2 linked regions of the Cricetulus griseus genome follow. The protein of the gene in region 2 interacts with the protein of the main gene of each other region in a biochemical or structural test. Links are inferred from orthologs where the notes say so. Each region holds a gene or a part of one and is shown on either strand. Other genes may lie near its edges.

Evidence for each region. The genes of interacting proteins can lie anywhere in the genome.
Region 1: the proteins of Wwp2 (region 2) and Wbp2 form a complex in vitro, tested with the Homo sapiens proteins (4 studies listed by BioGRID, with this or other methods). The link is inferred for Cricetulus griseus from reciprocal best matches to the Homo sapiens genes WWP2 and WBP2.

The regions. Positions count from the first base shown.
Region 1 is NC_048600.1:128,669,056-128,675,332, forward strand, and holds the start of Wbp2 (WW domain-binding protein 2), read right to left. Parts: upstream 4,017-6,277; 5' UTR 3,918-4,016; coding exon 3,859-3,917; intron 312-3,858; coding exon 203-311; intron 1-202. UniProt on the Homo sapiens protein: Acts as a transcriptional coactivator of estrogen and progesterone receptors (ESR1 and PGR) upon hormone activation. In presence of estrogen, binds to ESR1-responsive promoters. Synergizes with YAP1 to enhance PGR activity.
Region 2 is NC_048596.1:183,767,473-183,773,601, forward strand, and holds the start of Wwp2 (NEDD4-like E3 ubiquitin-protein ligase WWP2), read left to right. Parts: upstream 1-2,546; 5' UTR 2,547-2,642; intron 2,643-6,129. UniProt on the Homo sapiens protein: E3 ubiquitin-protein ligase which accepts ubiquitin from an E2 ubiquitin-conjugating enzyme in the form of a thioester and then directly transfers the ubiquitin to targeted substrates.

The DNA of each region.
Region 1 (6,277 bases), on a different chromosome or scaffold from region 2:
TCCCCAGGGCTCAAACACCACTGGTGTCACAAGGTGAAGGAGAGACACTTGCATCTCGAGGGCTCAAACGACATGGGTGTCACAAAGTGAAGGAGAGACACTTGCATCCCCAGGGCTCAGACACCACAGGTGTCACAAAGTGAAGTAGAAATACACATGACCATCTGGCAGCACGGAGCCTCTAACTGGCTGTACAACTTACACGGTATGGGGTAAGGTAGACAGTGCCTTTCTTGGTCCCTTTGAAAGCCTCTGGCACATTCTTCATGTCATTGAAGGTAAGTTCCACATGATCATAGGACATTAGGATGCTGTGATGAAAAACAAAAAACACAAAAAGACCAGATGATATGTCATCAGTCATGAGTCATTGGAGACATGGACTAAGTCACTCACAACACTGTTGCAATAGGACTATGAGTAAACCATCAGGACTGTCAGGTAGAGATAGTCCCCAAGCTCCATTTCTACAGCCCCCAAGTGACCAGGGTAAGAGAACTGTCTTCGACGGGCGTTGGTGGTGCACGCCTTTAATCCCAGCACTTGGGAGGCAGAGGCAGGAGGATCTCTGTGAGTTCCAGGACAGCCTGGTCTCCAGAGCAAGTGCCAGGACAGCCTCCAAAGCCACAGAGAAACCCTGTCTCGAAAACCAAAAAAAAAAAAAAAAAAAAAAAAGAGAACTGTCTTCATCTCTCCAACTGGACTAGGTCACCTGAGTTTTCTCTTCAGTCTGCTCTTAAGCCCTGTGACAGGCATTCTAGTTTGGGCTTTCTGAGGCTGGTCTTGAGCTTGCTAAGTTATTCCTGCTTGCATCTCCCAAGTGCTGGGATTACAGACTTCTACCGCCAGGCTGCTTTCATGAGGTGCTAGGGATGGACACAGGGTTTTGTGCATCCCAGGAAAGCATACTACCACCTGAGTCACAGCCACAACAATTTTACTGTTTTTTTTTTTCCTAAAAAATAAAACAAAACAAAACAAAACTAATATAGCCGGACAGTGGTGGTGCTCGACTTTAATCCCAGCACCCCAGAGGCAGAGGCAGGTGGATCTCTGTGAAGATAGCCTGGTCTACAGAGTGAGTTCCAGGACAGCCAGAGCTACACTGAGAAAGCCTGTCTCAAAAATACCAAAACAACAACAATAAACAAACAACAAAAACAAACAAAACCCTAATATATAAACATGAGTCTAATGGGACTTGGGGATGCAGCACAGTAGTATTTGCCTAGCATGGTCACAGTTCTGAGTTCTTCCCCAGCAACACACACACAGCTAATAAATAAGTAAATAATAAAAGTATAGAGTCAAAGACATGATTCTATAGTTTCATTGGATCCTCTGAAGCTGGAGACACAGGTGGTTGTGAGCCGCCTGACATTGATACGGGGAACTAAATGGGCCCTCTGGGAGATCATATTTTTGTTGTTGTTGTTGTTGTTTCTATGTGTGTGTGTTTTTTTTTTTTTAATCCAAGCTTCTTTAGCTGGAGCTGTAGAAAATGTCTGTGGATAAAGCCCTTGAGATGTGTGTATATGCATGTGTGTGTCTGTATGTGTGCGTGCGTGCGTGCGTGCGTGTGTGTGTGTGTGTGTGTGTGTGTGTGTACTTGTGTGCTCGGTTTTCTGGGAAGAGTTCACAGCCTTTATCTCTAACAGTGGTTTGTGAATTAAAGGTTAATGTTCACTAGTTTTGGGGGGGGTTGTTTTTGTTTTTTTTTTTTTTTTTTTGGTTTTTCGAGACAGGGTTTCTCTGTGTAGCTTTGGAGCCTATCCTGGCACTCGCTCTGGAGACCAGGCTGGCCTCAAACTCACAGAGATCCGCCTGCCTCTGCCTCCTGAGTGCTGGGATTAAAGGTGTGGTCACCAATGCCCAGCTTGTTCACTAGTTTAAATATCATAAGTTTGAGCACTGCACTTACATTTCAATTATTACTGACACATGTTTCAGAAGTGAGGCTGAAGTTCTTCCCAGGACCCTATTTGGTAGCAATGAGCCAGGTGCTGAGCCCAGGAGGGCAGAAATCTTCTACATAAAAGCCAGAGTAAGTGAAGGAAAACCACTCTCAAACGATGAAGCTAAACAGCTCTGGTTGTGGTGGTACATCTCTGATTTCCCTGCTCTCAAAAGCCAGAGGTCGGATTGCCTCAGGTTCAAGGCCAATCTGGATGGAAACCATAGACTGAAAACCAGAGAGAGGGGTAGTGGTGGGGACACCACTGAATGGCATCAAAGTACTTGACCAGCCAAGGTACTGGACTAAGTACACCAGAGAATAAGGTTTCTCAGATTACATGACATAAGGGTCCAAATTCTTATGTCTCCTCCTCATCCCAAATACCCTTTCTTGGTGCAAAGGTAATAGAGGACTTAGAACACAATAAAAGAGGCCAGCTCAGGTTAAAGAAGTGATCACCAGCTGGACGGTGGTGGTGCACGCCTTTAATCCCAGCACTGGGGAGGCAGAGGCAGGCAGGAGGAACTATGTGAGTTCCAGACCAGCCTGGTCTACAAAGTGAGTTCCAGGACAGGCTCCAAAGCTACACAGAGAAACTGTCTCGAAAAACTAAGAATTAAAAAATAATAATAATAAAGAAGTGATCAGCTGGGCGTTGGTGGCGCACACCTTTAATCCCAGCACTGGGGAGGCAGAGGCAGGCGGATCTCTGTGAGTTCGAGACCAGCCTGGTTCTACAAGAGCTAGTTTCAGGACAGGCTCCAAAGCCACAGAGAAACCCTGTCTCGAAAAACCAAAAAAAAAAAAAAAAAAAAAAAAAAAAAAACTTGCTGGGCTGGCCAGAACCTGCCAAGAACTATGGAGACAAAATCAGCATTTCCAGTCTGTGTCACCCCACACCTTCTCTTCTGACTCATCAAACATTCTCAAGTGACAGGTCCCAAGATGGCTTTGACTTCGACCACGCCTCCCTTGGCCTTCAAGAAGACATTCAAGCTTGCATAGCTCAGGTCAAGAGAGTCTGATTTCCAATGTCCGAGCAAGAAAGGAAAAGAGAAGCGACAGAGAGGGCCCAAAAGTTGGAGAGGAAGAGTGGATGGTGCAGTGAGGGGTAGAGAAAAAAGAATCTTGCAGTTGAGAGACTTCTACTCTGGCGAGCGACTTAAGCCCTCAGGAATCCAAGAGAACCAGGGGAGCGAGCGAGCGAGCGAGCGAGCGAGCGACACAAGGGAGACGCCTTTACAAGGCCCGCGGGCGCCAGGCACTGGGTGAGCAGATGACAGCCCCTCAGTTCCACCTCTAGGGCCTCAGCCTTTCTCTTGGAACCTGAGAAGTTCTGGAATATACGAGGAGACTGGACAGGAGTGGTTAAGCAACTGTTGGCTTTGCGGTCAAGACTCTTGCCTCAGGTCCCATCGGTCACTCACAGCCCTAAGCCAGGTTATTCGCCCTGTGTGAGCCTCGCTTGCCCTACCGGTAAACCGTGTGGGATAGTTTCTGCCGCACAAGATTAGCTGTTATCTGAGGCAGAACCGACCCACGCCGCGCCTCCTGCCGCGTAGCAACCACGTAGTAAACGCCCAACACAGAGCAATTATTCTCGGACTCCATTTGGGAGGGGGCTCGCTGGCCTCACTCAGGACCCACGTCCCCGCCGCCCCGGCTCCCCCCCCCCCCCGGCTCCCCCCGGCTCCCCGGCTCCCCGGCTCCCCCGGCTCCCCCGGCTCCCCCGGCTCCCCCCCCTCACCCACGCCCCACCCACGCCCTCCAGCCCCGCCCCCGGCCGTTACCGCCCCCTCCCCCAGCGCTCCACCACCGCCCCTCCTCACCGCACCCCACCGCCCACCACACGGCGCCCGCCTCCGCCCCCAGCCTCCAGGATCCTTCCGCCGCGTCCTCACCTCTCAGTGTTGTTGACGATCACTCCGCCACCCTCCGAGTGATTCTTGTTGAGCGCCATAGTCTCTCCTCCCACTGGGGTCCCGAGACTCGCAGCGCTCTGCGCCTGCGCCGGTCTTCGGCCCGCCTCCAGTGGCGTCGTTCGTATTACAGCCAGCCAATCATCGCTCCTGCGCGCAGGCTGACCAACCACCTGACCTCCGATGTCACGTGGCGAGAGTTTACTCCCGCTCCCCCTCCCCCAAGTCGCACCTGCATCACAAACAAGCCGCGGACTACAATTCCCAGCAGGCGATGGTTCCCTCAACCGCGACCTCTCCTTGCGTTGAGTGGTGGTTGAATTCTGGGACTTGTAGTCTTTTTTTTAACTCTAGGACAGGCTTGCTAGGTTATTTACAAAGTCTTAAACATCTGTACGCGTCTCCCAAACCGGCCTCCTCGTGTTAAGCAAACTCAATTGGAGAGATGTAACTTAAACGTGGTGACTTGGTGTGTGCCACCTTTAAACCACTTAATGAGCCGCCTTCGTCCTCGCCCATACTCTTGGCTGTGCGAGACGTAGCCCTGTCTAAGGTGGACTGGAACAGTCCCAGCAAAATACGCTTTAATCACCTCCAACCGTGACCCCGCGAGTCGGACAGTGTGAACTTCTGGGGAGAGTGATCGGCTCCCCACCGTCCTCCCCACCGTCCTCCCCGCCCCCTGCACCGGCCACCCCTGCACCGGTCCCCTGAACCGCCCCCCTGCACCGCCCCCTGCGCGGCTCCCTGCGCCGCCCCCTGCACCCTCTGGCCTCACGATGGCGCTGCGCCCTCTCAGTCTAGCTCGCTAGTCTAAACAGCAGGACTTTGAAGACCCAGGCGTGGGTGTCTGTCCACTACGTTGCAGAGAATCTGAACTCCATCTGAGGTGGCTCTTTCGCGGGCCGGGAAGGACTGCGGGACGTCCTCACTATCCCTAGATCTGGGGGATCAGGGTTTGGTCCCAAGCAGACAGCATAGCGGTTCACATCCCAGCATTTGGGAGGCTGAGGCAGGAAGCTGCGGCAAATTGGAGGTCAGCTTGGGTTGCATAAGGATTTCCAGTCCAGCCTCAGCTATTGTAAGACGCTGTCTTTAAAAAAAAAAAGTGGTGGTGGTGTAGCGTGTGTGCGTGTGCGTGTGTGTGCGTGTGCGTGTGTGTGAATAGATGGCTCAGCAGCTGAGAAGGAGGGGTCCCGAGATTGCTTTCCAGCACTGAGGTCAGGCGCTGACGTCTCTGGCCTTCTCATGCATCATATATATATATATATCATAGATGTGCACACATACACATCATTAAAAACTAATGAAAACACATTTTAAAAATGTTTATTTCCACTTTATGTATGTAACGGGTTGTCTGCATGCATGCATGTGTACTACAGTGTGTACAGGAGCCGCAGGAGGACACAGGAGGGTGTCACATCTCTTGGAGCTGCAGATCCAGATGGTTATAAACTGTTTGTATGGGTGCTGGCAACCAAATTCGTGTCTTTTGCAAGGACAAGTTATCTTGGCTGCTGAGCCACCTTTCTGGTCCCATAAAGTAAGTCTTCTTTTAAAAAAAGTAAAATCCAACTCTATACGGTAATATACAGAATGTTGAAGAAATACACTTTTATTTGCATAAAAATAAGATACTGATAGTCTTCAGGCAGGAATTGCAGCACTATCCCTTTGAGACACAGTTTTGGGAATTTCGGGGTGACTCAGTGCAAGGAGTCTTTTGCATTCTTTAGTTTTTTTTTTTTTTTCTGGGTACACTCTCATAAAAGTCAAATAGCGCTGGGCAGTGGTGGCGCACGCCTTTGATCCCAGCACTTGGGAGGCAGAGGCAGGAGGATCTCTGTGAGTTCGAGACCAGCCTGGTCTACAAGAGCTAGTTCCAGGACAGCCTCCAAAGCCACAGAGAAACCCTGTCTTGAAAAACCAAAATAAATAAATAAATAAATAAATAAATAAATAAATAAATAAAAATGGCTACAGATTTTTGTTTGTTTGTTTTTGAGAAAAAGCATCTTAGAACCCATTCAGACTCCTATGTAACAGTTATGTAGCCAAGGCTGGCCTCAAATTCCTGGTCCTCTACCTCCCGAGCTAGCAATACAGACTTCTGCCACCATGCCTGGCCAGATTTATTTATTTGTTAATTTACTTAATATAGAGGGTCTCTTATATGATGATGACCTTAAACTCCTCGTCTCCTGGCTCTACCACCTCCTGAGATTATAGCTGTGTATCTCCCTGCCAGGGTTACAATGCGCTGGATTAGCTGACTCCAGGCTCTCTTGGACACTGTGCAAACCACTCTACTAAACTGGACTGTGTCCTCAGCCCCAGGTTTTTTTGGTTTTTGTTTTTTGTTTTTTAGAGCAAACTCCAAGCTGACTGTAATGAAGCA
Region 2 (6,129 bases):
GAGAATAGGACTCTATGCCACAGGAAGGGACCCTAGGGATAGAGTTAATCATTTCCAGGCAGAAACCAGCCAGGGTTACTGGTTAGACTGACAGCCCATTGACTGACAAACTCATTGTGACTGGGGGTAGCTCAAATTAAAGGATTTATAAGGGACTGGAATTTGTCTAATGTCCAAAACCTTTCATCTAGGTACTTCCCCTCATTCTGATGCCTGCTTTTCAGCCAGTTAACTCATCTGTACAATAGCAATATTACTACTGGGCCCTGAGACTACTTGGTGGGCGTGTACTAATGGTGACTAAATGTGCCTCTTCTGATGCTTTCCAAACTAAGTAGACAGGTTCATCAGGACCTAAAGGTGTTCAAAGTTTCCATTTCCAAATTAAAGCAACAGTTGCATTCCCTGCAGAAATGGTCCTACAAAATTGGAGAGGCTTAGACTTACTGCTCCTATAAAGGAAAGTATACATGGGCTTGGGAGAAACCTATTGTTTTTATGCTAATTGATCATGAGTAATTAGGAAAAAAATTGTTGTGGTTGAGGAAAACTTCCAAAAGAAAAAAGAGACAAAGACATAAAACAAATAATTAGTACCAGTGTCTGTTTTCTTAGACCTCCTGGGTCTATCAGCATTGGCTGGACCTTTAATTCTCATTCTGATTGGACAAATGGCAGGGCCCTGCATCTTAAACTATATGGCCAATTATCTATCAGTTCAGTAAAATTAATGGTCCTTAGGACCAACTACACCTTTTTTTTTTTTTTTTTTTTTAATTTTTGAGACAGTTTTTCTGTGTAGCTTTCGCTGTCCTGGAACTTGCTCTGTAGACCAGGCTGGCCTTGAACTCACAAAGATCTGATTGCCTCTGCCTCCTGAGTATTGGATCAAAGGCATGCACTACCACTGCCTGACCCAACTACACCTCTTTAGGGTAGGGTAAGCCCACAATTTGACTCATTCGATAAGACCAGTGGGGAATGTAACAGGGCCTCAAGACTAGGTCCTAGACCTTAGCACAACTGACCCCACAATGGAATTACCAGTAGACCATAAGACTCAGCATGTAGACAGCACCACCTAACAAGGCGAAAATAAAGACCTAATCTAATCAAGATCCATAGTTCTGGGAAAGTCTTTAAATTTACTAACCTTGCTTGATCCTTAACACCCAGTGTAGTTGCCGGCTGGCTAATAAAGACTTTCTATTGGCTTAGATGAATGTCTGAGCAGTTTTCTCTGGTAGATAACCCACAACAAAGGCACCAAACATCCAGGTGGTACACAGATGTGTATGCACAGGAAAAAGATCCATATAATAAAATACTAATGAAAAATTAAAAATTTCAGTTAACCAAAACCAAACCCAACAGAAAGCCAGATGGTGTGGCACATATCTGTTATCTGATCAACTGGGAGGTGGGTCCCAGCCTAGGGTGCATGAAACCCTGACTCCACCTGTCTCCTGACCCCCCCCCCCCCATGGCACAAAAAGGTAATCCTAACTACTCAGAGAATCAAAAGTTCAAGGCCAATTAGAACTCTTTAAGCAAGACCCTGCTCCAAATAAAAACTAGAAAGGTAACAACAGGACTGGCAACATAGGTCAGTAGGAGTGATCCCTGACTAGTATGAGCAGGGCTCTGGGTCCAACCCTCAGTGCCCCCAATGCCAGGAATTAAGAAGGCTGAGGATAGGGTTGAGTTCCAGGTCAGTCAGGGTTACATAGAGGCCGTTTGCTAATTCAAAACTTTCAGTTTACTCCATACAGGGAGGAAATGGGAGTTGGTTCCCCATGGGACACTTACGGACTTGGGTGAAGTTCTGAAGTGTGACCTCACCCCCACCCCCTTCTACTTTTGCTTCTTGGAACAAGAACAGATGTTCTATAAAGGCCAGGGCATTTATACTTCTAGAACTGAAAACAAGGCCTAGCATATAGTTGGCACAAGCTGCCAATATTAGCAATACATAAGATGCTTAAGTTTGACCAGTATACCTTTGTGGTGTCAATACATCCCTTTCCAAATTTGCGGACGTGGTTATAGTTACAAGGTTTATCCGATATTCAAATTTAAGGGGGGAACATACTGTTTTTTTGTTAGCAAGTTTTTGTTTGTTTGTTTTTTGAGACAGAGTTTCTCTGTGTAGTAGTCATGGCTGTTTTAGAATTCACCCTGTAGACAAGGCTAGCCTTGAATTTACGAAGAACCGCCTGCCTCTGCCTCCCAAATGCTGGTATTAAAGGGGAGCGCCACTATCACTCGGCTAGCATACTGTTTTTTTCTCCAGTAATCCCCGAAAGACTCGCTGAATTAACTGACCGGATGGTCTTCTCCCACCTGTTTCATGGAGGGAAACTCTACCTACTTCCAAAGGAATAAAATAAAGCCCCTGGTGCCCGGCGAGTCCCTATTTTGTATGTCTGCCCGAACACAACTCAGGAGCAAGAGGTCCTCGCCACTCGGGACCTCAGTAAATCAAAAGCTCGCATGCTGGGTCTAGGTGGTCCGCACCTGCGCGCCCAGGCCAGCCTCTTCCGGGTCAGGTGACCGCGCGCACTCACGTGACCCGGCCCGAGTGCGGGCGCTGGAAGGCGGAAGTGGAGCGGAGTTAGGCGCCGCTGGTGTGGCCGCTGCAGGTAGGTGGCGCGGGCGCTGGGGGCTCGGTGGCGAGCGGGCGGCGCGGGGTGGCCGGGGGCGGCGGGGGCGTGAGGGCTGGGGGCGGCGCGGGGCGGGCGCGGGGGCGGCGGCTTCCTGTGGGAGGGGCCTGGCGCGCGGTTCCGGCCTCCGAGGAGGGGTGTCCCGGCTTGCGCCCGAGCGGGGTGGGCGCGGGGCCCGGTGGGAGTCGCCAGCTGCTGGCGCTTCCGGCAGGGGACCCCTGCCTGGGCGCCTGCGGTGCGCAGGAGCCGCGTCTGTGGAGGGGACGGGACCTCGGCCCGGGAGACTAGCAAGCTCCCCAGAAGGGGCTGCCTGGGAGTGGGCGTCTGGTTTGTAGGGACGTGGAGAAAAAATCTGGACGATGCGGCCTGGACCCCATTCCGAGAGTCTCTTCCTTCCATCCTCTTTGAAGATGATGGCGACCTGAGACTTTAATTTCGGTCCGGTTCAGTTTTTAAACTTCAGGAGGGATCCCTCAGTCTTGATCGGCTGACTGTGGTCACACCCACTTTGCCCTGTTTGCTTAGGGTTCCCTCTTGTTAGGAGCCTAGCCCTTCAGATCATCTTTCTTTGAGATGCTCCCGGATCGGCTGATCTTCGAAAAAAAAAATAAAATAAAGACGGTGTGGGTGCTTTACTGGGATCATAACATGACTTTCAACCTACACAGTTGTCAGCGGCTTGGGCCAGCGTTACCTCAGCAACGCATTGACTGCTTAACTCTTGGACAGTAGAAAGTCTACCGATACTGCTTTAGACGATGCATCTTAGGCTTAAATTACACAGTTTCCTTTTCCATGAGACTTCTTATCTTGACCAGCTGTGACTAGGTGGGGTGACAGAGAAGTTTCTGTGGTATTCCTTAGAACTGTGACCTAGATCACATTTTTTTTTTTTTTTTTTTGAGGTTAAGATACCCATCTTAAGATTGTTCATCTTCCAGGCCGAGGCGTGAAGATGGCTGCAAGTTCCAGGCCAAGCCGGCCTGGGCTACACTGTTAAGACCTAAACAAACAACCAAGCCCTCCTCTTTTCCTTCACATTTACTAAACTTTGCAGAAGTGAAATGGGTTTTGTGAATGCAGTGAAGGAGTTAGAGTTCAAATGGGACGTTGACAGGAGCCAGGATCACAGGTCACTAGGGCAAAAAAAAAAACCAAAAACTTTGCATTAATACATTAGGAGTGGAAGACTTTGGGGTATATGACAAACATTCAAAAGTTAATTTTTGTAGCTGTCATGAGAAATCAATCCCCACTTCACAGAGAACAAACAGCTAAGAGGGTTGACTTTAAAAATATTTATTTTTATTTATTATGTGTGTGTGTGTTCGTGTCTGTGTATGTATGTCATATGTAGGGTGTGGGTGTCCACAGAGGCCAGAAGAAAGCATTGGGTCCCTTGAAGCCAGAGATACAGGTGGTTGTGAGCCTCTGCGCTTTCTTTCTTTTTAAAAAGATTTTATTTTGTCTGCATTCATGTCTATGTGAGGCTGTTGGATCCTCTGGAGCTGAAGTTACAGACAGTTGTGAGTTGCCATGTGGGTGCTGGGAATTGAATTTGGGCCCTCTGGAAGAGCAGCCAGTGCTCTTAATCACTGAGCTGTCTCTCCAGCCCCAAGCCTCTGGCCTGTCATTCTGGGAACTAAACTTTGGTCCTGTGGAAGAGCACTAAATACTCTTTAACTGTTGATCTATCTCTCTAGCCCCAACTTGACTTGTTTACTCATCTTCCTGCTAGACTGTAAATCATTCAAGGGCAGTGATCCTATTTTATGTGGCTTCCTTGGCTACTAGCCTCATGCCTGGTATGTTGTGAGTACTTGGTCAGTGTTTGAGAAATAAGGGAGTTTTTAAAGGTCACACTGCTGTATGTGGTGAAGAAGGGGTTTGAACTTAAGTTTCCTGTCCTTTTTCTGGTCAGTGAAGCTAGTTTTGTTCTGTGTTATTGGTCCCTAGGAAACCAAGGAGCCTGAGGCCAAAGGCTTGGATTGGCTTGTCGTTCTCTTTCACTGTTTTTTTTTTTTTTTTTTTTTTTTTTTTTTTTTTTTTTTTTTTTTGTCATTGAACTTTACACCTTACCACTGAGTTGGAGCTGTAGCCCTTCCCCTCTCCCCCACTCCTGTGTAGCTTTGGAGCCCATCCTAGCACTTGCTCCGGAGACCAGGCTGGCCTCAAACTCACAGAGATCCGCCTGCCTCTGCCTCCCGAGTGCTGGGATTAAAGACGTGCACCACCAATGCCTGGCTGTAGCCCTTCTTTTTGTAAGTTTTTTTCTTTTTCTTTTGAGACAGACTCTCAGTAAGTTTCCCTGGGTGGCCTCAAACTCCTGTAGCTCAGGAAAGCCTTGAACTTGTGCTCCTCCTGCCTCTGTCTCTTGAGTTAGCTGGAATTACAGGACTGCACTACCAGGTCTGTCTTTCATTTAATGACTACTTTCCCACTTGCAAAAAACTTACACCAGGTTCTCATTTATTCTTATATTTGGTTATTTCTTTCCTTATTTAAGACAAATTTTTATTATGTAGTCCTGACTGGTCTAGAGCTCACAAAGATCCACCTGCCTCTGCCTCCCAAGTGCTGGAATTAAAGTTGTGTTAAATTAAAATAAATTTAAATCAAAACTATGCTCAGCCTTTCCTTTTTTGAGACAGGGTCTCACTGTGGCTTTTGGCTTTTTGATACAAGGTAGGTTGTAGCCCAGGCTGACTTCAATCTGGCTATGTTGCTAAGGAACTTATGATTGGTTGATTCTCTTGTCTCTACCTTCCAAGAGCTGGCGTTGCAGCATTCATTTACCATTGTGCCTGGGAAATGAATCTCATGGTCTGTGAAAGGTGCATTACTCTCATTCTATGGGTGAAGAAACTGAGACTTACTGAAGTCCTGATTTTAGATTCCAGACCTAGAAAAATAAATGAAGGGGTTGGTTCTCCCTTTCCACCGTAGGGGTCCTGGAAATCAAGCTGCAGTTGTCAGGCTTGGTGGCAAACACCTTTACCTGATGAGCCAGCTTTCCACATAGGGTTTTTATGTTAATTTTTTTATTCCTAGACCTATTAGTTTTTATTCATAGAAACAATAAGAAGTTTCATTTAAAATAGTTTTCGAATATAAAAAGTATGCTATTAGGATGCATATAAGTGGCATATACTTGTAATCCAAGCACTGGGAGGCAGAAGCAAGAGGATTGCTGGTAAGTTCAAACATTCAGGTACAGCTTGAGTTACAAGAAAGGAAGAAAAGACATGTAGAAAAAATAGAATAGGGTCAGAGAAAACATTGTGAATGTACAGCGTAACTGACTTTGAGAAAACCCTTCCTGCACTATACTTCTATACTGTCTCAGTCCATTTTGTGGTGCTGTAACAGACTACCACAGCAGGCTAATTTATAGACTGTAGAAGCTTGTCTTGGGATTGATGCTGAGAGAAGTCAGAAGGAGAGGCCGTTTTTGGAGGGCCTTGTT